4 linked regions of the Arabidopsis thaliana genome follow. The protein of the gene in region 4 purifies or fractionates together with the protein of the main gene of each other region. This does not show direct contact. Each region holds a gene or a part of one and is shown on either strand. Other genes may lie near its edges. The genes, in order: CPN60B, AT4G08140, Cpn60beta2 and PAA1.

Region 1 (9,284 bases), on a different chromosome or scaffold from region 4:
ATTTCCTAGTTTCCGTCCATACCCTCCTAGCTCCGTGACTCAAGCTCCGATACTCCTGTCACTGTGGATCCGACACGAATCGATATCTTTCTCTTGCAAGTTGCAACTAACTCATTTTATGCGAGTTTCACACAAAAATTAATGGTCTAACTACAAAGGTTTATAGAGTATTAACAAAAACATAACATTTTAATTGGATGTGTTATCCTTGTCCAATCAGCCTTTTAGGTTTTGAAAACTTGGAAACAGAGGAGAAATGGAGAAGGAAAGAAGATACTAAATTTTCAGATTGAAAGCAAAATCTAGAAGAAATTAAGAAAAGACTCAACAGAGTCATGTCCGAACCAGAAACCAAAGAAAAATGAAAATCTGTCTAAGCTAAAACGAAAACAAACCCAACCCTGATTTTATCTTTCACTACTTCTTCATCTTCCCACCGTATGCAGGGATCTTTATACGCATTTTACATGGTAGAATCAACAGTTCCTGGTTTCTCATCATTGGTTTTTCCTTCCCAGACCTGTTAAAGATATATGGGTGCATTTCAATACTAGAGAGTAGAGAGGACAAATGTAAATGCATCTGCTTATATCTATGGAATTAACCGTTTTCTTCTCTTGCCTGCTTCTGGGATTGTTGCTGCTTAGCTTTCTTCTCCAAAATAGTCTTTTGTCGAGCCTCGTAGAACGAGAAATCATCCAAAATGCATGTCTTGCTGTTATGCTCCTTGAAAATCTTTACAACCTTCAAACCCTGCTCCAACTTAACCTACATACATGATCACATGGAAAGAGTTTGAACATTGAAAAGTGGAAAATATTGCTGGTAGATCAGAAACATATAGATCGAGAAGATATAAACACTTACCTCTTGTGTGTCTCTACTGTTAGTAACAGGTTTATTCTCATTGTACTCTAGAGTAATATGCTTAAGCAAACTGTTGGGAACATCCTTCAGAATATGCCACTTGAGGGGAAATGAGCCAGTCCATTTATCCTGTTGCCAGTACTCAATATTTTTGTTGAAATCAACTGGTCCTTTCATTTCCGCAAGGCCAATAAATTGTCCACTCGCGTTGACCTGGAGACAATTGGGGTATATACTCAGCATCGGGAAACAAAACGAATACACAATATGAAATAAACTAAGAATTAGGTACAAACCGAGAAGAAGAGAAACACAGGGCAGCCACTAGATTTCTGCTGAGCCTCTTGATATGCAGCATCAAGCTTCTTGTTTCCATTTGGGGTGCTAGCCCATACATTATATTTGATGCTCTTATGCACATCATCTTCACTGTACGACTTGATGATAAAGAACTTAGCATCTTTATACTCAACTGGAAAATCGTCTCTGTTGCACTCTTCTCTATCTGGAAGAACGCATGTTACAGTCTCCTCAGTATTTGATTCATCAAACGTCTGCTTTTTCACCTCCTCTGAGCTAACCTCTTCTGTGGCCTTCGTGCCCTTGGCTCTAGGGCCCCTGTTTAGTTCATTCAAGCCATCAATGTTCTCATTTCCATAGAAGTAACTGTTACCCCTTCCCCGGCTTCTATATTTGTTGTCTGTATTGAGCCATCCTCTTTCATTTGTTCTTGAACCATATCCAGAAGAACCATAACCCATACCAGACCTCACCGTGCTACCATACTGACCATATGACTTGTTTGGAGACACTCTGTCGTAGTAACCCTGAGCTGCATAACCTGTCATGGATGCAGGCTGGTACATACTCTGCCAAGAATAGAATGAGGCTATCAGATACAGGGATTCAGATAGAGAAGAAGACTTATCATACAAAACTGACTTCCATATCATACCGTGTAATGCGAATTGGAGCTAGAGTTTTGATTCCTAGTCGCAGGTACATTGTTGTTAGCCTTAGAATATGAGGATGCAACTCCACTGCCAGAAACAGACCTCTGCACATCTGAGAAGTTAGAGCCATCGTGCCATGACACAGGAGTGTAAAACCCATCATAGCTATACCTGGGGTCCTGATAACCAGCAGCAAGACCACCTCCAAGAGCACTGTTTCCATACAGTGCACTCTGATTCAATGGTTTAACAGGAGCTGATCCATTCATTCCTTTAGGGATACCAGCAGATGCAGAGTTGGCTGCTTTGTTTGTAGAGAGCTTGCTCTGAGTAGAGGCAGGAACAGACGAAGCGAAAGGCCCACTACTGGCTGTGAGAGGAAAAGGATACTGGTACTGCTGAGCACCATACAACTGTCCATCACCACCAAGTTGTGGAGCAGGGCTTGTTGCTGGTGAGTAAGGAAAGGCAGCATACCCGTATCCCTGCGGATAAACAAGAGATGCATTCTCTCCGTAAGCTCCCTGGAGTGATTACCAAATGACTAAGTAGGGCAAAAGGTAAAAGAGAGGCTAAATAGTCTGGACACGAGTTGCTTATAAGAAAATATTAACGCACGTACTGATGTCATATCAACACTCTCGGAATTGGTATAACCTGTGTAGTCACTCCCATAACCTGAAAGATTATACAAACGGTTGTGTTATAGATATTACAATAATTCTAGACAGTAGAAGGCTGAAGATATATAAATGAAACTTAATTATCACCATAATAGTAGGGCTGCTGATACACATTAGGAACATAGAAAACAGAAGGATCCAAGGCATCACTGGGTAGCATAGGTGACAAAGATCGATCAAAAGAAGGAACTTGACCATTCGAATCCATAGCTCCATACTGGTAAACACCCGTCTGCAAAGATAATGATGCTATGAGAACTCTGCTTGGAGTAACAAAATGTGCAGAGACATTAAAAGATGTAACTTTACCTTCTTAGTAGGCTCAGGGATCTCCAAAGTCCTAGACTTTGAATCTAAAGACAGTTTCTTCAATACATCAGCAGCTTCTGAAAAAACAATGTAAGTGAAGGAAACAAATAGGTTTCTATCTTCAGCAAGACTAAAAAATTGATTTTTCTAATCAATTTATTCACTTTGCTAGCTACAGGAACAGTCAAATTCATCGAGCTAAAACAAACAGAACAAATGGAAATGACATCATTTCACTATATGAATCGAATTACGATGAAGCAACTAGATTCATGAACGTAGATCACAAAAGAAATGAAGGAGAAAAGAAACAAAGGCAAAGGATACGATCAGCAGGAGGAGCAACAGTAGACATGAGAACAGAGTTGGCAGCGAAGACTGATAATAGATCCTTGTCGGATATTGAACAATAAGAGTTTGAGACAAACACAAATATCAGAGCAAAAAAGAACTCAGAAGGAATCTAGGGTTTAAGAGATTGAATCGTAGCCGCAAGAGAAGAGAGAAGAAGAGGAAGAGGCAAAAGTGGTTTTGTTCGTTCACCTCGATTTGATTCAAATACCTCCAAGATCCCTTTTTTATATTTTTCTATTATTTTTGTTTACCTTTTTCTCCATCGTTTTTTTTTTAAAATACTTCCTTTATTCCAGCCACATTAATATTATACTAGTCACTACGAAATATCTCACAAAATAATACTATAAATATTATTTCCTCGAAAATTTCGCAATTAATCGGGAAAAAATCAATTTTTAAAATAAATATCACTGATTCCAATTCCATTGTTAGGAATTAAGGAGCAAGAATAAAGGCCCAAATAGGCCCAATATAAATCTGATCCAGGATCCGAAGAGTTGAATCCAACGGCCAAGATTAACTCAAAGCTTGAAAGAGGTAAGGGAACGTTAAAAGCACCTTCCAAGCGAGAGTAAGGAGATAAACCTACTTCCTTTCCTTGCTTCAGCTCCCCTTTTCTTATCCGGAAACCAAAAACTTCCGGTGATAAAACCTCCTTCGTCATCTCTCTACTTCTGTTAGTTTCTTAATCCTTACTCTTGGAATAGTTTATCCTCTGCATTTTTTAGTGCCACAGTTTATGTGTGTATGTTTTGTTTGGATAAGAATTTGTTGTAAGCTTTTGAAAACTTGTATTAGTTCATTACTTCCATGATTTTGGGTGTTTTGTAATAAAATTTATGGATTAGTGTTTCTTCAGATTGTCAATTGTGTTCTTATTGAGCTCTGCTTTCGAAGGTGTCGCCTTTCTTCTGGTTTGTTGTGAAAATTTATTACTTTAGCTTACTGGGTTGTTGTTTCTTTCTGTTATATTGATTGTGTTAACCGTATATAGATGAAAAGAAGAGTCTTTTTTATATCTTTGAAATCTTATCTAAGTGCTGAATTTTGTCTGTCTTTGAAGTGGATAAAATGGCGTCAACTTTCACTGCCACATCTTCTATTGGTTCAATGGTTGCTCCGAATGGTCACAAATCTGATAAGAAACTTATCAGCAAGTTGTCTTCAAGCTCATTTGGAAGGAGACAAAGTGTGTGTCCTAGACCCAGAAGATCCAGTTCTGCAATTGTGTGCGCAGCAAAGGAATTACATTTCAACAAAGATGGGACTACCATTAGGAGACTTCAAGTAAGTATCTTTTTTAAAAAAAGTTAATGGAAACTTCATTCCCAAACCGGAGCTAAAGGTTTACATTTTCTGTGGTTTCTAATTTTGTGTTGTACTAGGCTGGTGTCAACAAGCTCGCAGATCTTGTTGGTGTTACACTTGGACCCAAAGGACGAAATGTTGTTCTTGAGAGCAAGTATGGATCACCACGAATTGTTAATGATGGTGTGACTGTTGCAAGAGAGGTATGGAATTATTACCCCTCTGATAATGATTTTTGTTCTCATTCAACTGAGTCTTAGAGTTTCAAACTTTCTCCTGTAGGTTGAGTTGGAAGACCCGGTTGAGAACATTGGCGCTAAGCTTGTGAGGCAAGCGGCTGCCAAAACCAATGACTTGGCTGGTGACGGTACAACAACATCTGTTGTTCTTGCACAAGGTTTTATCGCTGAGGGTGTCAAGGTCTGTGTAACATTCTTCTTTCAGCTTTCTCTATGTGAAACTTCAAAAACTTTTGTACTAATTTTAAGATTATCTTATTCAGGTGGTAGCTGCTGGTGCAAACCCTGTTTTGATCACCAGAGGTATTGAGAAGACAGCAAAGGCTTTGGTTACCGAGCTCAAGAAAATGTCTAAGGAGGTTTCAAATTTATAGAACTCTCTTTCTTTTAATATGTTAAGAGTCTTTTTCAAAAGGTTCTGAATGTAAGTCATGTCGATGTAGGTTGAAGACAGTGAACTTGCAGATGTTGCAGCTGTTAGTGCGGGTAACAACGACGAAATTGGAAATATGATTGCTGAAGCAATGAGCAAAGTGGGCAGGAAAGGTGTGGTGACCCTTGAGGAGGGTAAAAGTGCCGAGAACAACCTCTACGTCGTAGAAGGAATGCAATTTGACCGTGGTTATATCTCTCCTTACTTTGTGACAGACAGCGAGAAAATGTCCGTCGAGTTCGACAATTGCAAGGTAGATGTTTCTTGAATCTGAGTAGAAGATGAATTTTGTTGGCAGACTATTTAGCCACTAAAGATATTTATATATGAGTATAACAACGATCTTTAATGTTTTGGTATGATTGCAGTTACTTCTCGTTGACAAGAAAATTACCAATGCAAGGGATCTTGTTGGTGTTTTGGAGGATGCAATTAGAGGCGGATACCCAATATTAATTATTGCTGAAGACATTGAACAAGAAGCTTTAGCGACTCTTGTTGTAAACAAGCTTAGAGGTACACTGAAGATAGCAGCTCTCAGAGCTCCAGGGTTTGGAGAGCGCAAGAGCCAATACCTTGATGATATTGCCATTCTAACTGGAGGTAAGTTCTGTCTGCATTGATGAGCCCTATGTTTACGCATATATTTGTAGTTTTTATCTTGTCCTAATTTTCTATCTTCGCTTGCAGCAACTGTGATCCGTGAGGAAGTTGGTCTTTCACTTGACAAAGCTGGAAAAGAGGTTCTTGGTAATGCTTCAAAGGTTGTCCTCACAAAGGAGACCTCGACCATAGTGGGTGATGGAAGCACACAGGATGCAGTGAAAAAGCGTGTTACACAGATTAAAAATCTTATTGAGGTATAGTAAAAGAGTATAGCATATATGGGACCTCTTTTACTTTTTGTGGATAGTGTAGTTACATTGCAATGGTAATTGGTTTGTGCAGCAAGCGGAGCAAGATTACGAGAAGGAGAAACTCAATGAGAGAATTGCAAAGCTCTCTGGTGGAGTTGCTGTGATTCAGGTAAACTAAAAACTATTTAAGTTTCCTTTGTCTGATTAAGATGTGTTTCAGAGATATTAAGTTAAGCTCGTTATGTATTGGTTAAAGGTTGGAGCACAAACTGAGACAGAACTCAAAGAGAAGAAGTTGAGAGTTGAAGATGCTCTTAATGCAACAAAGGTGATTTTGTATTTCTGAGGCTTGAGAAGCGTGTTATTTGCATACTCGTGAACTATAACTAATCAGGATTTTAATTCTTCAGGCCGCTGTCGAGGAAGGTATTGTTGTTGGTGGTGGTTGCACTCTGCTTCGTCTTGCTTCCAAGGTTGATGCCATTAAAGCCACGCTTGATAATGATGAAGAAAAGGTAAATCAATCAAGTCTTCAGATTTTAACTCATGAACCTTCGGTTTCTCTAACTTTGCTGATGATTCCCTTTAGGTTGGAGCGGATATAGTTAAAAGAGCACTAAGTTACCCCCTAAAACTAATCGCCAAGAATGCTGGTGTTAATGGAAGTGTAGTTAGCGAGAAGGTAATAACAACAGATAACATAATTCCCACTTTTTTATCTCTAGATTTCAAGTCAGATGCTTGAAGAGATGTCTCTATTCATTGGCAGGTGCTTTCCAACGATAACGTGAAATTCGGTTACAATGCTGCAACCGGCAAGTACGAGGATTTGATGGCTGCAGGAATCATCGATCCAACAAAGGTAAGTTTTCTGTGCATATACAGAAACTGTCTTTGCTAGCTAAATTGGTCATCAAAGATCCATGAACCTGAGTGGCTTTATCTTGATTTTAGGTTGTGAGATGTTGCTTGGAACACGCAGCTTCGGTTGCAAAGACTTTCTTGATGTCGGACTGCGTTGTTGTTGAGATCAAGGAACCTGAACCAGTTCCCGTCGGCAACCCAATGGACAACTCAGGTTTGTTCAGAATTTCAAATACTTGAGTCTTTGGTAAAGATCCCCCGCATTCAATATTCATGTTTCATTGCTGAATCTTGTTGGCCTCTCTTATTTCAGGATATGGATACTAAGAGGAGATAGGCTAATATTGAAACGGATTACTTTAGCTTGCGAGTGTAATGATTTTGAACAAGAGAATGTGTAATGTGAAACTGAAATTTTGAATTAATCATCATATGAATAAATCATGATTCCCTCAATGCTTCGAAATATCTCGAAATCGCCAAATATGAAACTTTTGATCCAAAGATTTGAAGATTTATTATCACTTCATATGAAATGGTATACGTAAACTGAATGAAATGGTTAAAAGAATTTCTTAAGAAAAAAAGAACACATTTATGATCGAATAAAATTCCTCACAAGTATGTATAGAGCCAAGAAGAGAAGAGAAGCTATGAACAGATCACATCAAAAGACACAAACTTTAGGTGAACTATTTCTTGTTAAAGCCAAACAAGGATTTGATGGCGTTAATGGCACTCTCATTGATGAAAGATTCGTCGAATTGCTTCAGAAGTGGATCGAAATCCTTCGACTTCCTGAGAGTTTCCAGATCTGGATCACTTCTGATTCTCTGCAAACAAAACAAATAACACAGCTTCAACAAACAAGTCCATCCTTCTCTCTGTCTCAATTGAAACATTACAACTCCTTGGACTTACCTTAAAATCTTCATATCCTGACTTCAATGCTTCTTCCAGAGCCGAGAGACCAGCTTGAACCTATCAAAATAACTCTATCAACACTGCAAGTCAAAATGCAATATCTGAAAAGATTCAAAAGCTTTTTACCTGATTAAGCTTTGAGTAGCAACAAGCAACATTGTAACTTGCAACTGATGCTTCTTCTGGTGTTGGTTTAGAACCTAACACCGACTCAAACCTCTCCAATGCTTCCTCATACTTACCATTCCTATATCAAATTACACACATGTCAATGCTCACTTTCCGGTTTCCATAAACCCCTTTGGTATACTCACTAAGTATTTACTTGGAAAATTGCAGCCCTTCACGAAGATCCTTCTCCCGTTGAGCTTTCTGTTCTTTCTTCTTCAAATAGTTTTGCATCTACAATTATAAAAACAAAAACAAAGCTCACTCACAAGCCAAAGTTCATTACTTTTGATGTCACATAATCAAAACTTTTGAGCTCACCTGAATCTCTCTCAATCTACTGCTAATGTATCCGGCATTTCTCTCAGCTCTTATGATCTCCTTCTCTGTTAACTCACCAGTATCTTCAGCCTTACCTGCAAGAGAAGAAGACACAACACATTTTAAACATAACCAAACCCAATAATGAGTTTTGCAGAGAGAATAGATAAAATAAAACAGAGCTAGAATATGGGAAATTCAACAAACCATTTCTCTTCTCCATTTGCATAAGCAAGGGACCAATTCTCTGACGAATTGTGTACATTGTCCTACCGTACTCAGCTGCAGGCCAAATCTCTGTTCCAAATACTGCACTGCATTCTCAATTTTCAAAGTTCCAAGTCAAAACTTTCACAGTCTCTCAAGCTAATCACATTGGAACATGAAGGAGAAAGAACAAACCTTGTGGCAATAACTCTATCGCCAACAGTGAACTTTCCGGTTTTGTCAGCTGATCCACCTGGTAAGATAGCATCAATGTAAGTGCCACCATCTCTTCCTTTCCTGAATTTCAAACCATAAGGCTGCTCCACTTCAATTTCATATGTTTCATACTTCTCTTCTTCTTCTCCGTCTCCTCCTGCTTCAGCTTTAGCTGAAGACTCTGTCTCCGACGCCTTCAAAGCTAAATTCCGGCGTTTGGCAACATGGGTATTGCATAAAGAAGCCGAATTGCTCGAAAGGAAGAGACTTTTGGCGGAAATGAAACTGGATTGAGTGATCAAACTAGGGTTTTGCTTGGTTTGCTGGGTTCTTGGCAGTGAAGGCGAAGAATACAGAGATGGATAACTGCTCGGAGCTAAAGACATGGTGAGATTCTTTTTCTTTAAGTTCGAGCTCAGACACAAGCCAGAGCCAGAGAGACAGATGATGATTAGTTGGATTTTGTTAGTTGAAGAAGACGATTATGTGACGTTGGTTGGTTTTTCGCAAAAGCTTCAAAGTTTCGGATTACACAAGTTTGCATGATTTTAGTGGCTATGCTTCAGTCTTGGTGTTTC
Region 2 (6,024 bases), on a different chromosome or scaffold from region 4:
ACAATCTGAATATCCACACCCTTCGCTCTCCCCAGAACCGCTAGAAACTGCCCTCCAGCAACCTTGACGGCTCCAAGCTGCTCACCAGGATCCCCACGGATGTTGCCGCGCGAGGCACTCTCCGGGGTAATGAAAAAATACGATGCTCCAGAGTCAAACAACACATGGGCCTCTACACCGCCCACTAATAAGGTCCCTACACAAACCTCATGTGCTAAGAACCCTAACATTCATCACAAAATAATGATATCCAAAACAACAGAAATATTTCACAAAGTCTGAGTCTCAGAAATCATACCAGTAATCGCTCTGTTGCTAGTACCGCCTATCTCACGCATAGTGTAACCCTGCGGTGCCGCTGCAATATGTGCCAACTGCTGCACTCCCTGCTGCACCTGCGCTCCGTGCTGCACCGCCGGCTGTACCACTGCCACTGCCATCCGCTGCACCTTAGGACAATTCGGCATGAGATGTCCCCTCTCCCTGCAGTGGTAGCACTCCCTCGTCTCAGCTCGCTGCGTGCAATCCACCACCTTGTGGTCAAGGCTCCCACAAGAAAAACATCCTGCACGACCACCCTGTCCAGCTCTGGAAGGATGATCCCACTTCCTCTTCTGCCCCTGCGCAGGCTTGCTGCCCTTGCTAGGTGCCACCTGCTGCTGAGTCTTCTTCGGTTGTACCGCTGGACTCACTCCCCCCTCCTACCTCTGAAGGTCCTCCTTCACCCTGTATCAGCTCAAGAAAATGCGCCTCCATACGGTCGAGCGCCTCCTGCGGAAAGTACTTGGCATTAAACTAAGCCACGAAATCTGCCCAAGACATATCCGCCTGCCTCCTCCTGGCAGTCACACTCCGCCACCACAAATGTGCATCCCCCTCTAGAAAATGCACTGCTAGATCTACCCGATACTCCGCCGAGCATCTGCTTGAACCGAAGTTCCGCTCAACCCGCGACCTCCAATTGTCGGCCTCCTCAGGACTAGTACCACCAGAAAAATAACCGGTGCCAATCCTCTGCAACTGCTCCATCATCCCCAAATAAGATGGAACCTTCTCAGCAACCGCAGCCCGCTGCTGCACCTCCGCCGCTCGTGGCGCAACTGGAGCCTCCACTGGTACCAAACCTGGTAACCGCTCCAACAACTGCCTCACAAGGCCCGCCAAACCAACCTTTGGAACCTGGGCTCCTCCGGCTGCGGCACACATCACTCCTGGGCCCTCAGCACCAACGGCATGCACACCGGTACCGACACCACCAGCCCCCACTCCGGTTGCACCAGCTATATCGGCACCAAGACCGTTCCTAACCCCGGGCTCCACAAACTCAGGTTGCGAACCCACTCTGCTCAACTGTGGCACTGTGGCCATCACTCTCGCCGGTACCCTCGAGGACTCGTCCCCTACCGCGACCACGACCGCGACCACGACCACGAACTCCAGCTCCTCTAACCATCTGCGCTACTCAAAAACAAATGGCTAAGAAACTAAAACAAACGAATATATCACAAACAACTTACCGTGGAATCTCATTTAAGGCTTGGAGAAGATGATGCTAGAACTCCAACAACACACAATTGACTAAACACTCCATAATCAATCCTCAATATGCTAACACCCTAGCTCATCCCACATCAATCAACAGGAAAATAATTCATCAATTAATTTTTCTACACATCTTAGAACCGTAATCGCTCTGATACCAAATTGAAACAACCCGACCCATTTTTTTTAAAAAAAATAATTAAATATTTCCATAAATATCTAATTAAACCAACCAATAGAATAACAATTAAACCACAAGTCAAAAATACTATTTAATGAATAAATAAATAATTCGACCAACAAAACCAAGAATAACTAACAATCCTAACCGGGTTCCAATAACCAAAAACACCAAAAATAAAACAAACGAGTTCCTAGATCATCCTCTCTTCCTTGCCATGATTCCACGATCACACTTTATCTTTACCTGTATCAACAACACAATGAGATGCGTAAGTATTATCATAAATACTTAGTGAGGCGATCCTCCCATCTACGAGCTATACACACAAGCAAATAAAAAGGTATAATCACGAATACAATACAAACAAACCAGTCATTGAACAATTCATCCAAAACACATTCACCACACCTACATATCATCACACAAAACAAATCACACAACCCTATCGCTCAGATAAGCTCATGGTCACGCACTCACCTTAACAAATTGATTCTAATAGCAATTAAACCCAGGAGAGACTCTCCTTGCGTCTGAAACAGTCCAGAAACGTCCTACAAAAAGTCCACAACCAAAAGCAACCTTGAAGCAAACTGGACAGGAAAAACCAGAAACAAGCAGTCTCAAAGACGAAACCCTCAAATACAAACTAACCGTTAACTATTCAATCTCTCCGGTGAAATCCTAGCTGCAGACGTCACAAAGCTGACCACAAAATCTCGTGCCGATCGGAAAACAGACGAGACCACGATCTCAGTTTCAATCTCCGCTGGTCCTAATTCGCGTCTGAGAAAACGTGTCTCACGAAACTGCGAATAACTCAACCAATTTGAATCCAAATCCAATTCTGTAAATTGGAGAATAACGATAAAGGACTTGGGAATAACTCTGCCAAATTTCGTTACCTTTTACCACGATTTGATATGACGAAACTGATTTCTCCCAAACCCTAACGATTCTGCTCGTTCTCCTTTTCTCTCTTTTTCTCCTTTATAAAACGAAAAGTGGCTAACCAAAGCCCTAATTTCGAGTTTACTTCTTTTATAGGCATACTCTAAGGTTTCCAATTAACCCAATCAATTAAACCGGATGATTTAAAAACAAACTCTAACTGATTTTCCGGTTCACGGGCGTTACAAAGAGGAAGTTAGAATGATGAAGATGGAAATGAACAAAGAGAGGATGGAAAAGAACAAAGAGAGAAGAAATGAAGATGATAATCGTTTTTTCCTATGGTTGTTCAATCACCATGGCAATTGGAATGTTGTGTCTATAGTAGAAAAAAACTTATTTATCGGTTTTAATTTGGTTTATTTTTGTAATAAATCTTTTCATCTTTGATTCGATATGATGAATCTAATTATGAAGACTAAGTGGGTTCGTATTCTTTTCTTATTACGAGAACATATCAATTACAGTATTGTACGTGGTTTTACAAAGCATAAGGAGATATACAAAAACAAAACAATAAGCATGTTCAAAGTGAATGTTTTGTTCGTCATTAGTATAGCCGGATTAAAAAGTTGCTAACTTGTGCTGTGAGGAGAGTTTTTTTTTTTATATATGTTCACAGGACTAATGACTCGACTTACATTGGGTTGTGATTGTAGTCTTAAGAGGATTTGGAACTAAAGCAGAACCTTAAGCTCTATGTTGAGATGGTTCAGGATCCTAATCCGGACTTGCAGAAGGCTGCTCTTGAGAGTATGAGGTAATTCTTGACTTGATTAGCTTCGGGTTTTCAGATTACTGTCTTTGAAGCTCATAATTTATAAAGTTTTTCTTTCTTTTCTGCTCCTTGTGTTCTACCCTTGTTGGAGTTTTTAATTTTTTTTTGGTTTTGTAGGCAGGAAATCCGAGCTTTAACAAGTTCAATGACTTCAGTTCCCAAACCACTAAAGTTTCTGCGTCCCCAGTATGTAACTCTTAAAGCGTTTCATGAAACAATGGCTGATTCTAATCTCAAGGTATGTCATCATTGATTTCAAGTTATTAACAATTCTTATATTGGTATGGCTTAAAAATTACATTTGCTATGTTTGCAGAAGTACATTTCTGATATCCTGTCTGTCCTGGCCCTTACCACGCTCTACAGATTGCACTATTTCTTGATAACACGAAGGTAGAACTGAGCCTTCTTTAATTCATCTAGTAGTTGTTGTCTGAGTTTGATTTGTTGATTTTGCTTTTGATATGTGATTATTTGATGTCTGCTTTTGATTAGTTGATGTCTGCTTTTGATTATTTGATGTCCGGTTTTGATTATTTGTTGTCTGCTTTTGATTAGTTTATTTGTTTCTCTGTTTAAATGCAATATATTTTTGAGTTGAGATAGCATTACATTAATATTTTAAATGCTTAGAAGAAAGTATTTGTTCTCTATGGTTAAATAAAATTCTAACACCTTTGATCAAAAAAAAAAAAAAAAAAAAAAAAATTCTAACACCTAATACTAACTTGAAGCTTTTAAAAGCTCTCTCTTAGTTATTGCGCTCAAAATTTCTCTGAATTGGTCTAAGCAATAAAAGCTAACTGTTTTTTAACTGTGATAAATGCATGTTAACTAGTGTATTTTGGAGTGGTTTACATTGGGTAAAAGTATTATCATAGTTATGGTCTATTTTATTGAATGCTTGGTAGGTTAAGTGTAAGTAAAAGCTCTATGTGATTTATTGCTCTCTGTGATCAATATCAAAGAGCTTTAACTTAACACCCTACCCTAACTTGAAGCTTCTAAAACCGCATCTATTTAACAACATAACTTCAAGCTGAAAAACACAGTTTAAATCACATAACTTCAAGCTGAAAAATCTTTCTCTTATCTTTTTAACAACCAAACCAAACAAGGTTATGGATTCCTTTAAATCTTTCCCTAATCATCTTTCAAGAGAATCAAACCATTCCACCAATTCAGTTTGAACGTTTTCCACCTAACATAGAACTTGGATCATCTGATGTCCATGTGTTTAGTACATTGGTTTGATGATCAAGAGAAAGATGAAGCGCCAATTGCAGAGAGGAAATCAAGACGCAAATGGTCTCTAATAGAAGATTTGGTCCTGATAACTAGCTGGCTGAACACGTCCAAGGATCATGTTGTTTCCAACGGGCAAAAGTCTAGAACCTTCTGGCAACGCATAACTGATTATTTTGCTACAAGTCAGAAGCTCAAAGGTTTTTGAAAAAGAAGCACATTATGCTGTAAACAGAAATTTGCAAAAATAAATGAGGGTGTGAACAAGTATGTGGGAAGCTTTATGCCTGCAACCAAACACCAAACAAGTGGCCAAAATGATGATGATTTGGTGAACTTGGCTCATCAGATTTTCTACGAGGACTATGGCGCCAATTTCACCCTTGAACATGCTTGGAGTGCGGTTCGCTATGAGCAGAACTGGTTAAGTGAGTTTCCTACAACAGGAACAGCAAAGAGAAGAAAGTGCAAAGAACAACAAAGAGAAGAAAGTGTCTGTGTTCCAGCTGGCATTGAAGAGAACCAAAGCCAAAGCAAAATTCGTTCCCCTGGAGTTAAGGCAGCTAATACCAAATTCCAAGCCAAGCCGAGTAGTGCGTCTGGTGACAATCTGAAAGAGTTACAACTTATTTGGGATATTAAGGAGAAAGATTTGGCGGCGAGAGAGAAGCTAATTAACAAAGAAGAGAAGAGAAGAGAATATTGGTCTGACTAAATTGCTTGAACAAATCTTTGCCAAAACTGAGCCTCTAACTGACATAGAGATAACTCTTAAGAACAAGCTAATCTCTGATCTATTGAATTAAGTTATTAATGTGTTCAGTTTATGTAATGTGGTTTGTAATGTGTTCCGTTTCATGCTCTTTGTTTGTTTTAAGTAGTTGTGTTTGTTTTGTTTCAGTTTATGTGTTTGTAATGTTGAATTTCAGTTTCAGTTTAGTTAGTATTAATGAATGTTGGCTTATATTGTTTGTGTTTGCGGTTACATGAGTTTGCAGCAAAGTCCATGTGGTTTGTAATGTATTCAATTTCATGCTCTTGTGTTTGTTTTAAGTATTTGTGTTTGTTTTGTTTCGGTTTATGTGTTTGTAATGTTGAATTTCATTTTCAATTTAACTAGTATTAATGAATGTTGGCTTATATTGTTTGTGTTTGCAGGTGGTGGACAAGGCTTCTTACCGACATCAATTGACTAGGTGGTGGACAAAGCTTCTTATCGACATCAATTAACTCGTTTTGTGTTTTGTTCTTTTGTACACACACCACTAGTTTTGTGTTTTGTTTTTTTTGTACCCACACCACTAGTTTTGTGTTTTGTTCTTTTGTG
Region 3 (9,000 bases), on a different chromosome or scaffold from region 4:
GTGTGCTAGCCCAAACATTATATTTAATGCTCTTGTGCACATCATCTTCACTGTATGACTTGATGATAAAGAACATGGCATTTGCATAATCCACTGGGAAATCTTCTTTATTGTACTGTTCTCTGTCAGGAACAACACATGTGTTATCCGCCTCCCCAACCTCAGTTACATTTGATTCTCCAGTCTGCTCCTTAACCTCTAAGCTATCATCTAGATTTCCCTTCTGGTTCTTTGTGCCCTTAGCTCTAGGTCCCCTGTTAAGTTCATTCAAACCATCTACATTGTTCTCATTTCCGTAATAGTAACTGTTACCCCTGCCCCAGCTTCTGTATTTGTTGTCTGTGGCCGCCCATCCTCTTCCATTTGTTCTTGAATCATACCCAGATGAACCATAACCCAAAGCAGATCTCCCTGTGCTACCATACTGACCATATAACTTGTTCTGATACATCCTGTTGTAGTACCCCTGAGCTGTACCATAGCCAGTCACTGATGAAGGCTGGTGCACGCTCTGCAAAGAAAAAAGTTGATTGAAGGTCAGTTAACAAATTTGGAAGACTTGAGCGGCTATATATATATGCCAGTAAAGCAGACAATGGTGTTCATTAGCAAAAAGAAGTTTGGAAAGACATCATACCGTGTAGTGAGAATTTGAGCGGTAGTTTTGATTCCTCGATGAAGGTACTGTGCTAGACTTAGAATAGGAGGATGCAACTCCACTACCAGAAACAGGTCTCTGCACATCAGAGTACTTAGAGCCATCGTGCCACGGCACAGGAGCATAATACCCTTCATAGGCATACCTGGGGTCCTGATAACCAGCAGCCAAACCTCCTCCTGGAGCACCCATACCATACAAATTACTTGAGGTGTTAAGGGTAGCCTGGTTAGTTGGTTTCACTGGAGCTGATCCATTACTTCCTTTTGTGATACCAGCAGCAGAAGCAACATTATTGCTATCCGCAGGTAGTGTCTTCACACCAGCAGGTTTGTTTGCAGAGAGATCCGGCTGGGTAGGTGTAGCCACAGATGAAGCATACGGTCCACTGTTTGGAAAATAGTTAGGATACTGATACTGCTGAGCACCGTACAACTGCCCTTCCCCGCCAAGCTGTGGAGCAGGGCTAGTTGCTGGCGAGTAAGGATACGCTGCATACCCATAACCCTGAGGATACACAACAGTCCCATTCTCTCCATAAATTCCCTGGTAAAATATTGAACCTGTTAAGCAAAGAAAATATAAAGACGATGAAAGGCACTATTATAACTAGTCAGCACACACTTACAGAATTCATGTCAACACCCTCAGGATTTGTGTAAGCTGGGTAGTCAGTCCACTCTTGACCACTCCCATATACTGAAAAGTTACAAAACGAAAAACTTGTTAAACCAGTGGTGACAATTTAGTGAAATAATGTTTCTAGATTGTAAATGATTTGAGGATGAAGCTACCATTGTAATACTGGTAGGGATTGTAAGGATTAGGAACATAGCAAACTGAAGGGTCAGCAGCATCACTGGGAAGCATTGGTGTCAAAGATCGATCATAAGAAGGAACTTGACCATGAACATCAACGCCTCCATACTGGTAGACGGCAGTCTACACAAGACACAAAACAAAAGCGTTAAAAAAAACTGGAAGAAGCAAAAGTTGTGACAACAGAAAACCAAAATTCAATCTGCAAATCACCTTCTTGTTAGGCTCAGGGATCTCTGAAGCTTTTGCTGGCGAGTCCAAGGATAGTTTCTGCAACAGATCTGTAGCTTCTACAAACAAGGTGAGTCAAGGAAGCAAAGAATTACACAATTAACCATTAGAATAGTGGAAAGCAAACATTCTCAAATCAATCAAACTCGCCACAAATGAATCGATTTGAATCAATATAGAAACCTAACAATCGAGAAATATATTGAGAAACCCGAAACTGAATCTAGGCAATATCAAATATATCTGAACAAGACTCAAAATCAGCTCACTGGATTCAAGATCCAACAGATTCAAGATCGAGAAATCAAAACACAGATCGAGAAACATAAAGAAAGGATACGATCAGCAGGAGGAGCAACGGTAGCCATGAGAGGAGATTCGACAAACAAAGATTTGGATAGATCCTTCTCGGATAAAAGGGGATGCGACCAAAGAGAAAGAAGAAGAAGAAGAAAAAAAAGAAGATAGAGAAACCCTAAATGGAATCAGGAAAAACCCAGATCAAATCTAGGGTTTAAGAGATAGAATAGAAGAGAGAAAGAAGAAAAAAATGGCCGCAGCCGCCAAGAAGGAGAAGGGTTTTGCTTCGGGGAAGAGGAAAAAAAGGGTTTTGTCTCTCTACCTCTCCCTCTGATTCAAATAGATCCACTAATCAACCACCTCACCTTCTCTCTTTTTTTTTTCTTTCTTTTTTTTTTTTTTTCTTCCACCTTAAGATATTTCCTCTTTTGTTTTAAAAGAAGACTATAGACCGTGTGGTTTTGGTTATTTTTCCTGCAAAATCTGGATAATATACTTTTCCATTTTCTTAAAATTGGTAATCTTGTAATAAAATAGATATAAATCTCAATTCTGTTACCAAAATATAATTCAAAAGTAAATTTGGTCAAATTTAAAAGCAAAAGAGGGCATGCTTTCTATTATAGGTGTGTTTCTTCTATAAATTTACCCCAATATACATTGAAATATCTTTAAAAATATATATTAAACTTTTTTGTTTTGAGCAACTATTTAAAAACTAAAAGCAAATCATTAAGATAAAACCAAAGAAAGTAAAATCTATTTTTCAGAGAAACTTACCAAAACTAGCTATTCAAGAAAATATACTTTACCTTTAGGATAAAAGGAAGTAAATTACCTTAGCTTAAAAAAGCTATTATTAAATAAAAACATTTTAAGATCGAGAGTATGTAATGGGCCTATTTGATTAAAGATTCATAAACAGGCCCAAATCACCAAACAAGGCCACCGGAAATAAACCCATGATCCGATTACCCATCCGACGTTCTAGAGAGTTCTAATGAGAAAACAATGAAGAGTACATCCAACGGCTAAGATTAGCTCGAAGTTTCAAGAGCTAAAGGCTCATATCGCCTTTATATTCAAAGAAAAAATTATCAGTAGCAAGTGCATTCTTCATTTCGTCATTGGAGAAACCTACTTCTTCCTCCTTATCCGGAATAAACCTCTTCGGCGCCATCTCTCTCCTCACCTCCGTCGTTCCACCGTCCGGTGAGTGTCACTTTTCCCATCAATTGAGCTCACAATGTTGGCGCCTATGTAATTGTGTGTGTCGATTGATTGTTTTGTTAGAATTGGAATTAACAAGTATTACTAGTAGCTGAGAAAAAGTATGTTACCTTGTTTTCGTGTTCCCGGAGATTTGTGGCTATTGGTGTAGTTGTGGTTTTGAGTATTTGGGGATTGAGCTCTGATTTTGAAATTCATCTGTTTTTTGTTTTTTGTTGCCAGTTTTAATTGGTTAGTACTTTTGGTGAATCTTTCGTTTTATGTGAACTGTTGGATTGATTTTCAGTGTTTGAGAAGTGAAAATGGCATCGACATTCACTGCCACGTCTTCCCTTGGTTCGTTGCTTGCTCCCAATGCTATCAAGTTGTCTTCTGCGACTAGCATCTCTTCAAGCTCGTTTGGAAGGAGACATAACGTGTGCGTCAGAAGATCCCGTCCTGCCATAGTATGTGCAGCCAAGGAGTTGCATTTCAATAAGGATGGGACTACCATAAGGAAACTTCAGGTGAGAATTAATGAATTGATTTTCTGGAGTAATGATTAGGATTCGTTTTATTTTTGGTTTCTGATTACTCGTTTGTTATTAGACTGGTGTTAACAAGCTCGCGGACCTTGTTGGTGTCACACTTGGACCAAAAGGGAGAAATGTTGTTCTTGAGAGCAAGTATGGATCCCCAAGAATTGTTAATGATGGTGTCACTGTTGCGAGGGAGGTATGAAATTTATTGTCTGTTTAACCAATTATGTTCCTTTCGTTTTTAATTACTTCTCTAAGCTTAAGGTTTTCTTCTGCTTAGGTCGAGTTGGAGGACCCGGTTGAGAACATTGGTGCAAAGCTTGTAAGGCAAGCAGCTGCAAAGACCAATGACTTGGCTGGTGACGGTACAACAACATCTGTTGTTCTTGCACAAGGTTTTATTGCTGAGGGTGTCAAGGTTGTTACATTCTTCTTTCAGCTTTCTCTGATTTTATACTCAGAAGAACAGTATATTAATCTGAAATTTTGTATTTTTCAGGTGGTGGCTGCAGGTGCGAACCCTGTATTGATCACTAGGGGGATTGAGAAGACTGCAAAGGCTTTGGTTAACGAGCTGAAACTTATGTCTAAGGAGGTAAGTAACTATTATGCTAAAACTTCCTTCTTCTTAATTTTTCGAGAGTCTATAGCAAGATGGTCTAAAGGTTATGTCATTGGAAATATAGGTTGAAGACAGTGAACTTGCTGATGTGGCAGCTGTTAGTGCGGGTAATAACCACGAAGTTGGAAGTATGATTGCTGAAGCAATGAGCAAAGTGGGCAGGAAGGGTGTGGTGACCCTGGAGGAGGGAAAAAGCGCTGAGAACAACCTTTATGTTGTGGAAGGAATGCAATTTGACCGTGGTTATATCTCCCCATACTTTGTGACAGACAGTGAGAAAATGTCTGTTGAGTATGACAATTGCAAGGTAATTTTTCTTTATTCTGAGCTACCAAAATGATATTGTGATGCAAATAGCCTAACAAGTTTCTACTGTGCAGTTGCTTCTTGTTGACAAGAAAGTAACCAATGCAAGGGATCTTGTTGGGGTTCTAGAGGATGCGATTAGAGGCGGATACCCAATCCTCATAATTGCAGAAGATATTGAACAAGAAGCCTTAGCTACTCTTGTTGTTAACAAGCTTAGAGGCACACTGAAGATTGCAGCTCTCAAAGCTCCTGGATTTGGAGAGCGCAAGAGCCAATACCTTGACGATATTGCCATTCTAACTGGAGGTAGGTCATGTTTTTATAACAAAAAACCTATATGTGGGTATCAATCAATGTGCCCTCCTGATTTGGAATCATTTGGCTGTTAAAACCTTACCGTGTTGCTTCTGTTTTTGTGTGCAGCAACTGTGATCAGAGAGGAAGTTGGTCTTTCTCTTGACAAAGCTGGAAAAGAGGTTCTGGGTAACGCTTCCAAGGTTGTCCTGACAAAGGAAATGACAACAATTGTGGGTGATGGGACCACACAAGAAGCAGTGAACAAGCGTGTTGTACAGATTAGGAATCTTATTGAGGTATATGTTTGAGTCAAACCGCATAAGAGTCTGTGACAGCTACTTTTTTTTGTATAAAGTTTGTTTATGCTAATACAACTGCGGTTGTGCAGCAAGCGGAGCAAGACTACGAGAAGGAAAAATTAAATGAGAGAATTGCGAAGCTCTCTGGTGGAGTTGCTGTAATTCAGGTAAAATAGTAATCACATGGACTTTCTTGGATTTGTATGATAGAAGAATAAGTTAAGTGATCTAATTAAAGTTTTTACATCTTGGTTAAAGGTTGGAGCTCAAACTGAGACAGAGCTCAAAGAAAAGAAGCTGAGAGTGGAAGATGCTCTTAATGCTACAAAGGTGATTTTCTTTATCCAGCTGATGGGGTTATAGGTATCGTGCTACTCATGTATATCTTAATTATATGACCTCATTGAGTTTCAGGCTGCTGTTGAGGAAGGTATTGTCGTTGGTGGTGGTTGCACTCTGCTCCGGCTTGCATCAAAGGTCGATGCCATCAAGGATACCCTTGAAAATGATGAAGAAAAGGTGATTGGCAAAATCAAGAATTTTGAAATTTTTTGCAAATTGCTTGCTCTTACTGCATTTTCAACTATTTCCCATCTCTAGGTTGGAGCGGAAATTGTTAAAAGAGCACTGAGTTACCCTCTGAAATTGATAGCTAAGAATGCTGGTGTTAATGGAAGTGTTGTCAGCGAGAAGGTTATAACAACATAAGAACATCCATGCTTATTCAGCTCTTGATCTACGTAAGTTGCTTAAAAAGCTGTATTTATTTATTGCAGGTGCTGGCTAACGATAATGTGAAATTTGGATACAATGCTGCAACCGGCAAGTATGAAGACCTGATGGCTGCAGGCATCATCGACCCGACAAAGGTCAGTTTCTCACATACACTCCCTCACTCTGTTTTGCTATCCCATCTGATCGCAAAATATCCAATGAACCTGAGTGGATTTTTGTTTTCAGGTTGTGAGATGTTGCTTAGAACATGCCGCCTCAGTTGCAAAGACGTTCTTGATGTCTGACTGTGTGGTTGTTGAGATCCCAGAGCCAGAGCCAGTTCCTGCTGGTAACCCAATGGACAACTCAGGTTAGTCCAGACCTTCTGATTCATAAAAACTGGACAGTGACATCAAAACAAAACTCATGTTTCTTCATCACTGAATCTTTCTCGATTGTCTTGTTTCAGGTTATGGATACTAAGATAGACCGACCAGGTTTGCTCGTAAAGCTGAGAGATAGGCAAAATTCCGAAGCGAGAGTAGCTCACTGGGATACGGATTCCTTTAGCTTGCAAACAAATTTTCTGTGCAAGTGTAGTGATTTTTGAACCAGAGAATAATGTGTTCACTAGATATCATATTTGAAATCATTTTGAATAACTTGTCAGTGATCTTCAAAATCTTGAGTGCTCTTAATAACACCATCTTATATACATGCTAAAGCTGAGGGAACTTAGATAGAATGCAAAAAGTGTACTTTAAATTTAAAAGCTTCTTGAATCTGACTAAGAAAGAACTTCATTAACTGGTTAAGTAAACAAGTGTAATATAAAGCAATTCTTTTAACAACTCTAAAACCGTAAACACTGAATCGACAATCGACATATAACCTCAGGTGAGCAAAAGTGGATTCTACTATATGTACCTCAATGTAGATGGATTCTAAATCCAAAGCCACAAGCTGAACAGAGCCAATTCTCAAGCAAGCTTCTTCACCCTTCACCATTGCCATATCTTCCGGTAAAACTAAGCCGAGTTGATCACAGAATAACACAAACACAGCTTTGATCGCCATCATATCTAACATCTTCTTCTTCACTGCAAATATAACAGGGATTCAGACAAATGTCAATCAACTAATTCTCAAAGTTAGCATCTTTTGAAGCCTGAATTGATCAAAGATTCAAACTTCATACCAAGAAACCTAAGAAAAACAAAGATTCAAACTTCATAGAAGACAGTACCTAGACTCGAATTCTCGGATCTCAGCAAGTTCTTTCCCCATCAAATCCACCCACTGTACTTTCTTCTTCTCCTTTCTCCCACCATCTGCTGAATCTAAGACCTCCTTCTTGAGACTGCTTTTCAAGATTTCCCCATTACTAAGACTTTCTTCTTCTTCCTTTTTTCCCTCTAGAGCACAATCTTCTTCTCTAACAACCTCAGTCAACAAACCATCAACATGATCAACAACAACTTCTTCTTCTTCTACATGTGCATCATCATCATCATTGTCATCATGGTCACGATCATCAACAACCGTAGTCGAAGAAGACACTTGAGGAAAAGTATTCTCCAATTTGAGAGAACCAGAAGCGTAGATATGAGGAGAAGGCTTACAGAAACAGATGAAAGAAGGGCACTGGATCTTACACAGCAAAACCCTCATCAAAACATATGTTGGGTCTTTAAAACACCCGATCATCAAATTCCAAACTTTCCCTCTTTTCTCTTTATAAAGTTACAACCTTTTCATGCCCATTGAGATGCCCAGATTGGACTCAAAAAGCTTCGAGGATTTCAATCTCTGGATTTCTGAAACAAAAAAAAAAAAAAAAAAAAAGAGCAACAAAAGGTTTTCGAGGAAGAGTTAATAACCACAATATATAATATCACACTTCAATAGAATCCAAAGACCATAAATTAAGCGTTGATCAGATGAGGAAGCAGACAAAAGTACAGGGACCACGCAATGCTAATATTACTAATTGAGAAAGAACAGATTCCACAATTGAGAACAATCAGCCATGGCCATTAAAGAAAAAAAAAAGAGGAAATTGAGAGAAAGGCATTTACTTTTTTATGAATTTGTGTTGTGTGAGAGACAAAAGAGTGACTGACCAAGTTTTTAAGAATTTATGAAAAAGTGTTTGCTTCTTTTTCTCTGAGAAGAAGATAAAGTAGTTAGTCTTCGAATTTTGCTTTTTCAATGCCTTTAAAGGTGAAGTCTTTTTTTAACTAATTAGATTAACTGTTCCCTCGCTTAATCTTATATATTGGATTCTGTTTGTTGTTAGGATATCATATATATTTATTTTCTAATATTTTTTATCTGTTAGATAATTATTGAGAAGATTATGTGTTTTGTTAAAAAAAATTAGTTACGTATATAGTTAATTATATATTTTTTTAAATATTACTATGCTGCAGAATTTTTAAGTTCATAATTGTAATTAAATTATATTACTTTTATGTCTACCACTAACACATGCTTTCAAGTTTAAACTTGGTTATGACAGTACTGAGATCACCAGTACAAACCATTAACTTATAAATTTTGTTTGAAAATCATCTACTTATAGGATTAAACTTATACATTTATTTAGATATGAACTGTGTGTAGAGAACTTATATGTATCAGCAATAATCTTGCAAATCTTAATATTTAATTGGACAAATCTAAATGATTAATGTTAATGGAATAAGTCACACGAAGTTTCCACGTGAATGAAAGTATTTATCAAAAATTAATAATTTCTATATATTTTGTATCGTTGACAAATCCAGATATGATCTAATACTGTAATTTTTTTTATGAATGATGTAATCTATTAGATGCACGAAGTTTCTGCAAATCCCAAATGGATATATACACATAGGTATGTCAATTAATATAGAGAATAATGACGCGACATAGGATGCTTCTGAGTTCTGACATATTATTTCGAGATCAATCAAACTCAAAAGACATACAGCTTGTCTCACACATGTGTGAGATTTT
Region 4 (8,123 bases):
AGGGAAAGGACAATACTATTCACTCAATGCACCATTAAAGGATGGTTTGGATGATTTTAGTCTTCGTGGTTTGTTCATTCCTGTTATCCACAGAGCTATGGAAATCTATGAGCCAGAAGTAATTGTTCTTCAGTGTGGTGCTGATTCTTTAGCTGGTGATCCGTTTGGTACATTCAACTTGTCTATCAAGGGTCATGGTGATTGCTTACAGTACGTAAGATCTTTTAATGTTCCTCTCATGATCTTGGGGGGTGGAGGTTATACTCTTCCAAATGTTGCTCGTTGCTGGTGCTATGAGGTTTCTCCTTTGTAACTTGGACTTTGTGTTTTTCATATTCATGCAATTCTTTGTTCTGAAAAAGTGCTTTTTAATTGTTGCAGACGGCGATTGCGGTTGGAGAACAACTTGACAATGATCTCCCAGGCAATGATTACATGAAGTATTTTCGTCCAGATTACAAGCTTCATATATTGCCAACCAACAGGCAGAATTTAAACACACGATTAGATATTATAACAATGAGGTAACCTTTTAAAAAGGCTGATCAGTTTGGTGCCAATATAGTTGAGATGTTTACAACTTTTGCTTTCTAAACCTCTTTGTAAATCCATTATAGGGAAACTTTACTAGCGCAACTTTCTCTAGTAATGCACGCACCTAGTGTACCGTTTCAAGACACTCCATCAAGCAGTCAAGCCACTGAAGCGGTAAAATCTTTATTCATTCGTTCATTACTACTTTATCTTTCTCATTACTGGATATGTTTTAATTTGTCCAATGAGGTTATTAAGATTCGCATGACATATCTTTAGGCGGAAGTGGACATGGAGAAGAGAAATGATCCACGCATTTGAGTGCAATCCAAGTTATGAACCAGACTCTAACAACGATTAGCATTTTCTTGGATAAGGCAAATGGTAAAGTAGTGTCATAGGAGAAGGATTCTTCATATTCAAATTTCACCTTTTTCTGAGTTTGTTCTTAGAGCATGTACAGAAAAGAACGATTGATGTATAAAATCAACATTGTAGAGATACTACAATAACATTCAAATATTATAGAAAGCAACAGATTTTTGTTGACAAAAGTCTCCACAAATTACATATAAGGCACATTCTGCAACAATTCAATGTAAGAAAGAGAGAACAAATGCATGGTAAGTTACAACTAATGATATCTATATCTATATGCAGCCTGTTCAACTAGGAAAAATCAACAATTACACACATGGAATTTTTCATTGTGATAAGAAATCAGATTCTTTAGTCCCTTAGTCAATAAAATAATCACGAACCAGCAAAGTATATGACTCAACAACAAGAGTCCTGATATTGCATATCCCAAGACCATAAACTCATCACATAATATATGCTAATTATTACCGAAAAATGAGCTTCTTAATGCCTAAAATTCTGATTTGAACTTGGCTCGTACGCTCATAATTTAAAGCTCAGCCAAGAACATCATGATAGCCAACAGAGATGCATACACTTTCTTGAATTAAAATCCCAGATCACAATGAAGTAAAGTTATCTAAGTAAAATTTAATTATTTTCAAAAAAAAACAATATTCATGGCTTTTGTTCATCATTCCTTTCTTGAATCAAAAGGTTATATATTTGATGAGAGTAAAGAACAGAATAATGATACAATATACATTCTCTTATATAGAGATGAGATTTCCTAATCAAAGATAAAACCTAAATGTAAATCATATATATTTGATAAATGTAAATATTACTAAAACTAAGATATGATAATATTTTAGATCCTTCTGCAATCTTCATGATTTCCATATTCTTGGGCGATCATCTCAACCATCAATGATTGATTTCCAGTTTCCCCAATAAAAGTAGCTTTAATTCAAATCATAATAGGATAATCAGTTCTTAAATACTTTGGAAAAATATATGGATAAAATCAGAAAAATAAACCTCTTTCAAATAGGAATAAGAAAAAAAATAGGAATTAATCATTTTGATTTTCTAGTTGATGTATTGATCATATAGTTGAGTATTCTTATAATGTAAATTAGCCGATCAAGATTTAAATATACTTTTTAAACGTTTCTTTTTAAGCTGATTAGGTTTTAGAAATTCTAGGGGAATTAGTTTCATGAGTTTTTATAATTTTGTTTTGCAAATATTGTTCAAAAATCAAAAATCATTAAAAATCTGAAAACATATTTATGGCCTAAAGGCTAAAAGTTGGATATAATTTATTTATTTTCGGTTGGATATATTTTGCTTAGTTTTATCCCGTGTGTATTTTTTCCTTATTTATATATAGTAAACGAGAACGTAGACAGAACAGAGTTGGGATGGAGACAAAGAAGAGAAGAAGAAGAAGAAGGAGATGATTTTCTTAACAGATGATCTATGGGCAATTATACTTGCGAGATTACCACTAACAATCATCACCACTTCAAAACTAGTTTGCAAGCAATGAAATCGCTCATAGAATCTCCCTTTTTCCGCAAACTTTTCAACACCCACCATCAAAACTCTCATTCTTCATGGTCAATCCTCTGTAGAGTCCTACCTGAAGAAGTCGTGGCTCACTACGAAAGCGAGACTTGGGGTCTTTCACGATCTCTAGGTTCTTACATTTCTTCTTTCATAACCCACAAATTCAATACTCAATTCCCATACGTTACACTCGTCGTGGCTTACACTCATGTTGGATTGATTTTGATCAGTTCTTGCAACAAATTACTAACTTACTATGTGGCTAATCCGATCTCAAGACAATGTGTCGATAATATATCACTAAAATTTTCTTCAAAAGTTTCTCTAAACTGTATTACAATGTTTTCACAAACTTTCATCGATACCTAAATAGTTTATATCTTTATTTTCATAAAAATTTGTGATTAAAAATAAAATTCGTTAGAAATTAGAAATTTTATTAATCTTTGTAATAAGAAAGTAAACTTATAACAATTTTAAAGTATCTTTTTAATATTTTCCATTTTAATTTTAGTTAAATACATATTTTTCTTCCTATATGATTGATTGCATCTTAAATCGCATATCTTAAAGTGGCAGAAGAGTAAATAAAGTGGTCATCAAAGGGCAAAATAGTAAAAACACCACCTCGACTCTTTTTTTCTTCTGTCTTGGACATAAAGCTTGATTCAATTCCATTCCTTATTGTTATATACACATCTCTGATTCAACTCCACCGAATTCAGAAGATCGAAGAAGATGAGTAGAGGAAGCGGCGCTGGTTATGATCGTCACATCACTATCTTCTCACCGGAAGGTCGTCTCTTTCAAGTTGGTCAGTACTCTCCGATTCCCACTCTCAATTCCTTTTCGAGCTCTGAAAACTGAATACACACTTTTGCTTTTGTAGAATATGCCTTCAAGGCCGTGAAAACAGCTGGTATTACTTCAATCGGAGTTCGTGGGAAAGATTCGGTTTGCGTCGTTACCCAGAAGAAAGTTCCTGTGAGTGAATCTCTCTTTTCATTGTCTCTCGTTTTTTTTAGGGTTTGCAAAAAAGTTGCGTCTTTTATTGAACCATTGTATGGATTTAGGTTTCTAGTAGATTGAGGATTGTTGGTGTATCTTACCCATTAGGGTTTTTGTTTTTGGGTTGGGACAGGACAAGCTTTTGGATCAGTCTAGTGTTACACATCTGTTCCCTATCACCAAGTACATTGGATTGGTAGCTACTGGCATTACAGGTTCGTTTCATGACCCTTTTATCTCCTCTTAAGCTGTAGAATTTATTGCTATGGATGGTAATTTGAACATGTGAATTTCGTTTTCAGCTGATGCAAGGTCTTTGGTTCAACAAGCAAGGAATCAAGCAGCTGAATTTCGGTTCACTTATGGATATGAGATGCCTGTTGACATTCTTGCTAAATGGTATCGTTGCTAATCGACTTGGTGTCTCTTTTTTCAGATGGTTCTTTAACTTCTTAGTGGAGGCTGGCTTATAGTTATTGATCTATCTAGCTCTTCTGTGATAAATGGTGTTGCTGATAAATAACTATTTTACTTACAGGATAGCGGACAAGTCACAGGTCTACACTCAACATGCTTACATGAGACCCCTTGGAGTTGGCAAGTTTGCTATCTTTTTCTTTTCTTAAGACCAATCTAGACATTAGTGCCTACTTGTGTTTGATGCGTATTATATCACCTTCACGTTTTGATGAATATTATTGGCTGACAAAAGGAATTTTCTTGTTGTCTCTCTTTATGAAGTCGCTATGGTAATGGGTGTTGATGAAGAGAATGGTCCCTTACTTTACAAATGTGACCCAGCTGGACATTTTTACGGTCACAAGGTATTATCTATCACTCGTAGCTTATACTTTAACTAAACTTGTCTTCTAATACTTACTGTTTTGATTGCTTTTGCTGGCCTGCATCAAGATTTATTGATAACATATCTGAATAATATCGTCTTACAAGCATATTGACATACACTACACACTATTTACTGCTTGTCACTAACATAGAAGAAAATGCCTCAGTCTATAAGTCATTGTGATAAGCATAAACGAAAAAAGTATAATATGACTATAGGAGTGAGTTAGTCATAATTGCGGAGAGTTTTGGTCATTTGGGTTGTTTGTGGTAAGCCTTTCAGACTTTGGGATAGGTTTGGGTACTCTATAAGATAGCATAACTCTCACTTTAGTTCTTTGTATCCGGTTGCTCCTGGGTTCATTAGTTTACTTGTTTTCATTTGTAGATTTACAGAGAAGAATAAAGGAAACTTTTTCAATCCTGTCTTTCTCATTTCGCTGATCTTAACACTTTTTAGGAATCTTATGTATAAAGGTTTTTAAGCATCGTGCTCATTTCTACTTTTAGTAACTGATTGATCCTAGGTTGAAACAAAACACGTTTTGTGTATCTATTCAATGACATGACTACATACAGGTTACACATGAGTCTTCTGGACTATATGACCAAGATCTCTAGAGGATAGGATATACAAAAAAATTATTCTCTCTCTCAAAAGTCGTAGATATTTCATGTTAATTGAAAAGCAGCTAATAGACAAGCAACTGTATTCGTGCAGGCAACTAGTGCTGGTATGAAGGAACAAGAAGCAGTCAATTTCTTGGAGAAGAAAATGAAAGAAAACCCATCTTTCACATTTGATGAAACCGTGCAGGTAAATTATTTGCATTATCTTTCATATTTTCCCTGCTTATGTTCGAATACGGTAACATATGTTCATTTAGCTGCTGATTACTTGTGCTGTTACTTTGTAGATACAAATCTATTAATATTCTTGATGAAGTACCAAATGCACATTGTTCCTCACGTTGATATTTTTATACGTTTGTAGACTGCCATATCGGCTTTGCAATCTGTTCTTCAAGAAGACTTCAAGGCTACTGAGATTGAGGTATACAAAACTCTTCTCGTATATGATGGCAAGTTTATTGTATCATTTGTGGGTTATATATCTTATCAAACCGTTTGGTGAAATGATAGGTAGGTGTGGTGAGAGCAGAGAACCCGGAATTCCGTGCATTGACAACGGAGGAGATTGAGGAGCATTTGACAGCCATTAGTGAACGAGACTGATCAACTTAGTGAAACAAGTGTGAGTTACGTTGCTTCGCTTCTATCAGACATTCCTCTAAAGTGACCACTCTCCATCGATCTTTTGTTTGGTCTTCCTTCCATAATTTAATTTACTTAGTCAACCCAGCAAACTTGAAAAACAAAAATGCACTGTAATGCTTAAGGCTGTGAGAGTTTCCGAGTCTTTTGACTCTTCAGAAATGACACCAACTTTACTCATATCATCACTTTCTAGCTTTTTATTTCTATCGTTGCAGTTGCTGTGTCTTCGTCTTCACCAGTTCTTAAACTCGAATTCGTTTTAAGGTTTCAGTTGTTAGAAAGTGAGGGATCATTCTTACCTTTCAACAAAAAAGGTTTAGGTTATGGATTCCAATTTTTTAGGATCAGTCAAAAATTTTAGGATCAGTCAAATTTTTTTTACATCGGCATAATGCTTAGGGCTGGGCATAAAATCCAAAAATTGATCAAAAATCCGGCTCCGAAACCAAACCGAACCGAATAGTCACAAAATCCGAATACATAATGGATATTCCTATCTGAATTATCCGAAACAAATCCGATCCGAACCAAAAATTGAACGGATATCCGCTAATCCTAAATAAAATTATATATCTAAAAATATTAGTTATAATTTATATCCAAAAAATACTAAATAGCAAAAATATCCGAAATAACTTTACTGTCCGATTTTTTTACTTTTATTTGTTAAAATTATACAATGTTTTGCAAAATTAAACCAAATTTTAGTAAAATTAAACGATTTTTATTAAAATTGTACAATTTTTTAATTTGTTTTTTTTTTAAATCAAAAACTGATCCGAAACCGTTCCGAATCTAACACCATCCGAACCGAAACCGAATTCGAATAATCATATAATCCGAACGGATAATAAACTCCCTCATCCTAATTATCCGAATCTAAAATAACCCGAACCAAATCCGCTCCAAAATCCGAAATTTTCATTATTAATGCTTGCAACACCCAAAATCACTCCTAGATAAACTTACTTGAGCCTAGTTGAAGGCCTATAGGCTATATGAGATGATCATTTTGCCCTGTGGCCTCTTAAACTTTAATGTCAATTATTTACAAAAGGAAAGTAAAGTGATCCTGAAAACTATCAATTAAAAAGTGAAGTATGTGTACATCATATAGGTTCGTGTCAAGCATTACAGACATAATGATTGTAAGTTTAGATAGTACTTTATCAAACTCCAGCTGTTAGAGACGTGGATGACTTAAAAAACATATAGACGAGTGATCTATAACGCGTCTTTCTATAACACCAAATGTATTTTTTTCTTTTCTTTAGGACCAAAAGTTATTACAACTTGATTAGAAAAACAACAATATGTTTAACACTTTTGCTTTCTTTGATTGAAGAATCAAACAAGGAAAAAAAAATCAACTTTACCTCTAACCAAAACCTATTCTAGGTATAGAAAGCAAAACCTAAACTAGATTTTTTTTGTTTTTTTGGTGGTAAGAATGTATTACTATTTACATCTTATGTAAAAAAAATGAAAAGATTACGAATTGAGGATAGAAGAGAACTCAGTAGTCAGTACCGTTCCCCTCCGGCCTCGTTACGCATTGGTGAATTATATCCGTTTCTCAAAGTTATCCGGTGGTTTCTTGCCGTGTGTGCGGGCGACCGGAACTTTTGATGGTTATCAGTCGTGGAAACGTTGCGAGGCTTGTCGAAGTTTTGAAGACTTGTCTCTTTAACTTCACGGCGTGTTTTGTCGAAGTTTTGAAGACTTGTCTCTTTAACTTCACGGCGTGTTTTGTCGAAGTTTTGAAGACTTGTATCTTTAACTTCACGGCGTGTTTTGTCGAAGTTTTGAAGACTTGTCACTTTAGTTTCACGGCGTGGCTTGTCAAAGTTTTGAAGACTTGTCTCTTTAACTTCCCGGCGTGGCTTGGTAGGAACGGTGTAAGTGAATATCCCAATGGGAATATCATCTTTGTAATCTTTGATGTCTTGGAGAACGGAGACAACAGTGCTAATGTCTGGCCTTGTCTTTGGTCGGTACCTTAGGCATTGATAAGCTAGAGTTGCTGCCTTTCGTGCTCCGGTCTCTGAGTACTGATCTTCAAGCCTCGGGTCCATTATTCTCCCGAGTTTACGTGCGTCGTTGAGCATTGGACGAGCCCACTCAACGAGGGTTTCTTTTCTTGATGATCTCGCTATGTCCACCGATTTCCGACCTGTCAACAGCTCAAGCAACACCACTCCAAAGCTGTACACATCACTCTTAGCCGTTAAATGACCTGTCATTATGTACTCTGGCGCCGCGTACCCTTGTGTGCCCATCACGCGAGTCGACACATGTGTATCATCGCCTTGTGGTCCGTCTTTTGCTAGCCCGAAGTCCGAGAGTTTCGCTGTATAATCCTGAAAAAAGAAATCAAAACATCAAAAGTCTATTCAAATCCAAAAGCAATTATAATTTTGAATGGTGACCATGGATGTAATTTGCGGTTCCACCATAATTTGAATAGAAAGAAACAAATATGTCCATTTTAGGTTATTGTCCGCTCTAAAACTAAAATGGTC

What was found.
Region 1: the proteins of PAA1 (region 4) and CPN60B fractionate together in Arabidopsis thaliana (co-fractionation; one large-scale study listed by BioGRID). This does not show direct contact.
Region 2: the proteins of PAA1 (region 4) and AT4G08140 fractionate together in Arabidopsis thaliana (co-fractionation; one large-scale study listed by BioGRID). This does not show direct contact.
Region 3: the proteins of PAA1 (region 4) and Cpn60beta2 fractionate together in Arabidopsis thaliana (co-fractionation; one large-scale study listed by BioGRID). This does not show direct contact.

What each region holds. Positions count from the first base shown.
Region 1 is NC_003070.9:20,713,630-20,722,913, reverse strand, and holds CPN60B (chaperonin 60 beta), read left to right. Parts: upstream 1-3,652; 5' UTR 3,653-3,845; exon of another isoform or gene 3,846-4,232; 5' UTR 4,233-4,240; coding exon 4,241-4,456; intron 4,457-4,554; coding exon 4,555-4,680; intron 4,681-4,759; coding exon 4,760-4,897; intron 4,898-4,979; coding exon 4,980-5,075; intron 5,076-5,159; coding exon 5,160-5,402; intron 5,403-5,517; coding exon 5,518-5,752; intron 5,753-5,839; coding exon 5,840-6,009; intron 6,010-6,097; coding exon 6,098-6,175; intron 6,176-6,262; coding exon 6,263-6,334; intron 6,335-6,416; coding exon 6,417-6,521; intron 6,522-6,595; coding exon 6,596-6,688; intron 6,689-6,775; coding exon 6,776-6,868; intron 6,869-6,960; coding exon 6,961-7,084; intron 7,085-7,183; coding exon 7,184-7,197; 3' UTR 7,198-7,351; downstream 7,352-9,284. Other genes in the region: ECT4 (evolutionarily conserved C-terminal region 4), read right to left, coding at 464-520, 622-768, 868-1,080, 1,164-1,736, 1,823-2,344, 2,443-2,498, 2,591-2,735, 2,813-2,889 and 1 more; ZKT (protein containing PDZ domain, a K-box domain, and a TPR region), read right to left, coding at 7,563-7,703, 7,792-7,851, 7,921-8,041, 8,120-8,196, 8,284-8,378, 8,491-8,597, 8,686-9,092. UniProt on the Arabidopsis thaliana protein: Binds RuBisCO small and large subunits and is implicated in the assembly of the enzyme oligomer. Involved in protein assisted folding. Required for proper plastid division.
Region 2 is NC_003075.7:5,132,292-5,138,315, forward strand, and holds AT4G08140 (26S proteasome non-ATPase regulatory subunit-like protein), read left to right. Parts: upstream 1-3,381; coding exon 3,382-3,434; intron 3,435-3,569; coding exon 3,570-3,690; intron 3,691-3,768; coding exon 3,769-3,849; downstream 3,850-6,024.
Region 3 is NC_003074.8:4,386,145-4,395,144, forward strand, and holds Cpn60beta2 (TCP-1/cpn60 chaperonin family protein), read left to right. Parts: upstream 1-3,070; 5' UTR 3,071-3,220; intron 3,221-3,524; 5' UTR 3,525-3,540; coding exon 3,541-3,744; intron 3,745-3,826; coding exon 3,827-3,952; intron 3,953-4,036; coding exon 4,037-4,174; intron 4,175-4,255; coding exon 4,256-4,351; intron 4,352-4,442; coding exon 4,443-4,685; intron 4,686-4,758; coding exon 4,759-4,993; intron 4,994-5,110; coding exon 5,111-5,280; intron 5,281-5,372; coding exon 5,373-5,450; intron 5,451-5,541; coding exon 5,542-5,613; intron 5,614-5,697; coding exon 5,698-5,802; intron 5,803-5,883; coding exon 5,884-5,976; intron 5,977-6,059; coding exon 6,060-6,152; intron 6,153-6,243; coding exon 6,244-6,367; intron 6,368-6,466; coding exon 6,467-6,480; 3' UTR 6,481-6,871; downstream 6,872-9,000. Other genes in the region: ECT2 (evolutionarily conserved C-terminal region 2), read right to left, coding at 1-511, 638-1,204, 1,287-1,357, 1,453-1,600, 1,691-1,767, 2,049-2,076; AT3G13480 (nuclear polyadenylated RNA-binding protein), read right to left, coding at 7,040-7,097, 7,244-7,704.
Region 4 is NC_003076.8:13,762,853-13,770,975, reverse strand, and holds PAA1 (proteasome alpha subunit A1), read left to right. Parts: upstream 1-3,087; 5' UTR 3,088-3,207; coding exon 3,208-3,283; intron 3,284-3,358; coding exon 3,359-3,453; intron 3,454-3,610; coding exon 3,611-3,692; intron 3,693-3,779; coding exon 3,780-3,876; intron 3,877-4,015; coding exon 4,016-4,074; intron 4,075-4,218; coding exon 4,219-4,301; intron 4,302-5,044; coding exon 5,045-5,140; intron 5,141-5,317; coding exon 5,318-5,377; intron 5,378-5,466; coding exon 5,467-5,559; 3' UTR 5,560-5,900; downstream 5,901-8,123. Other genes in the region: HDA7 (histone deacetylase7), read left to right, coding at 1-298, 382-524, 618-708, 814-855; AT5G35580 (Protein kinase superfamily protein), read right to left, coding at 7,125-7,961. UniProt on the Arabidopsis thaliana protein: The proteasome is a multicatalytic proteinase complex which is characterized by its ability to cleave peptides with Arg, Phe, Tyr, Leu, and Glu adjacent to the leaving group at neutral or slightly basic pH.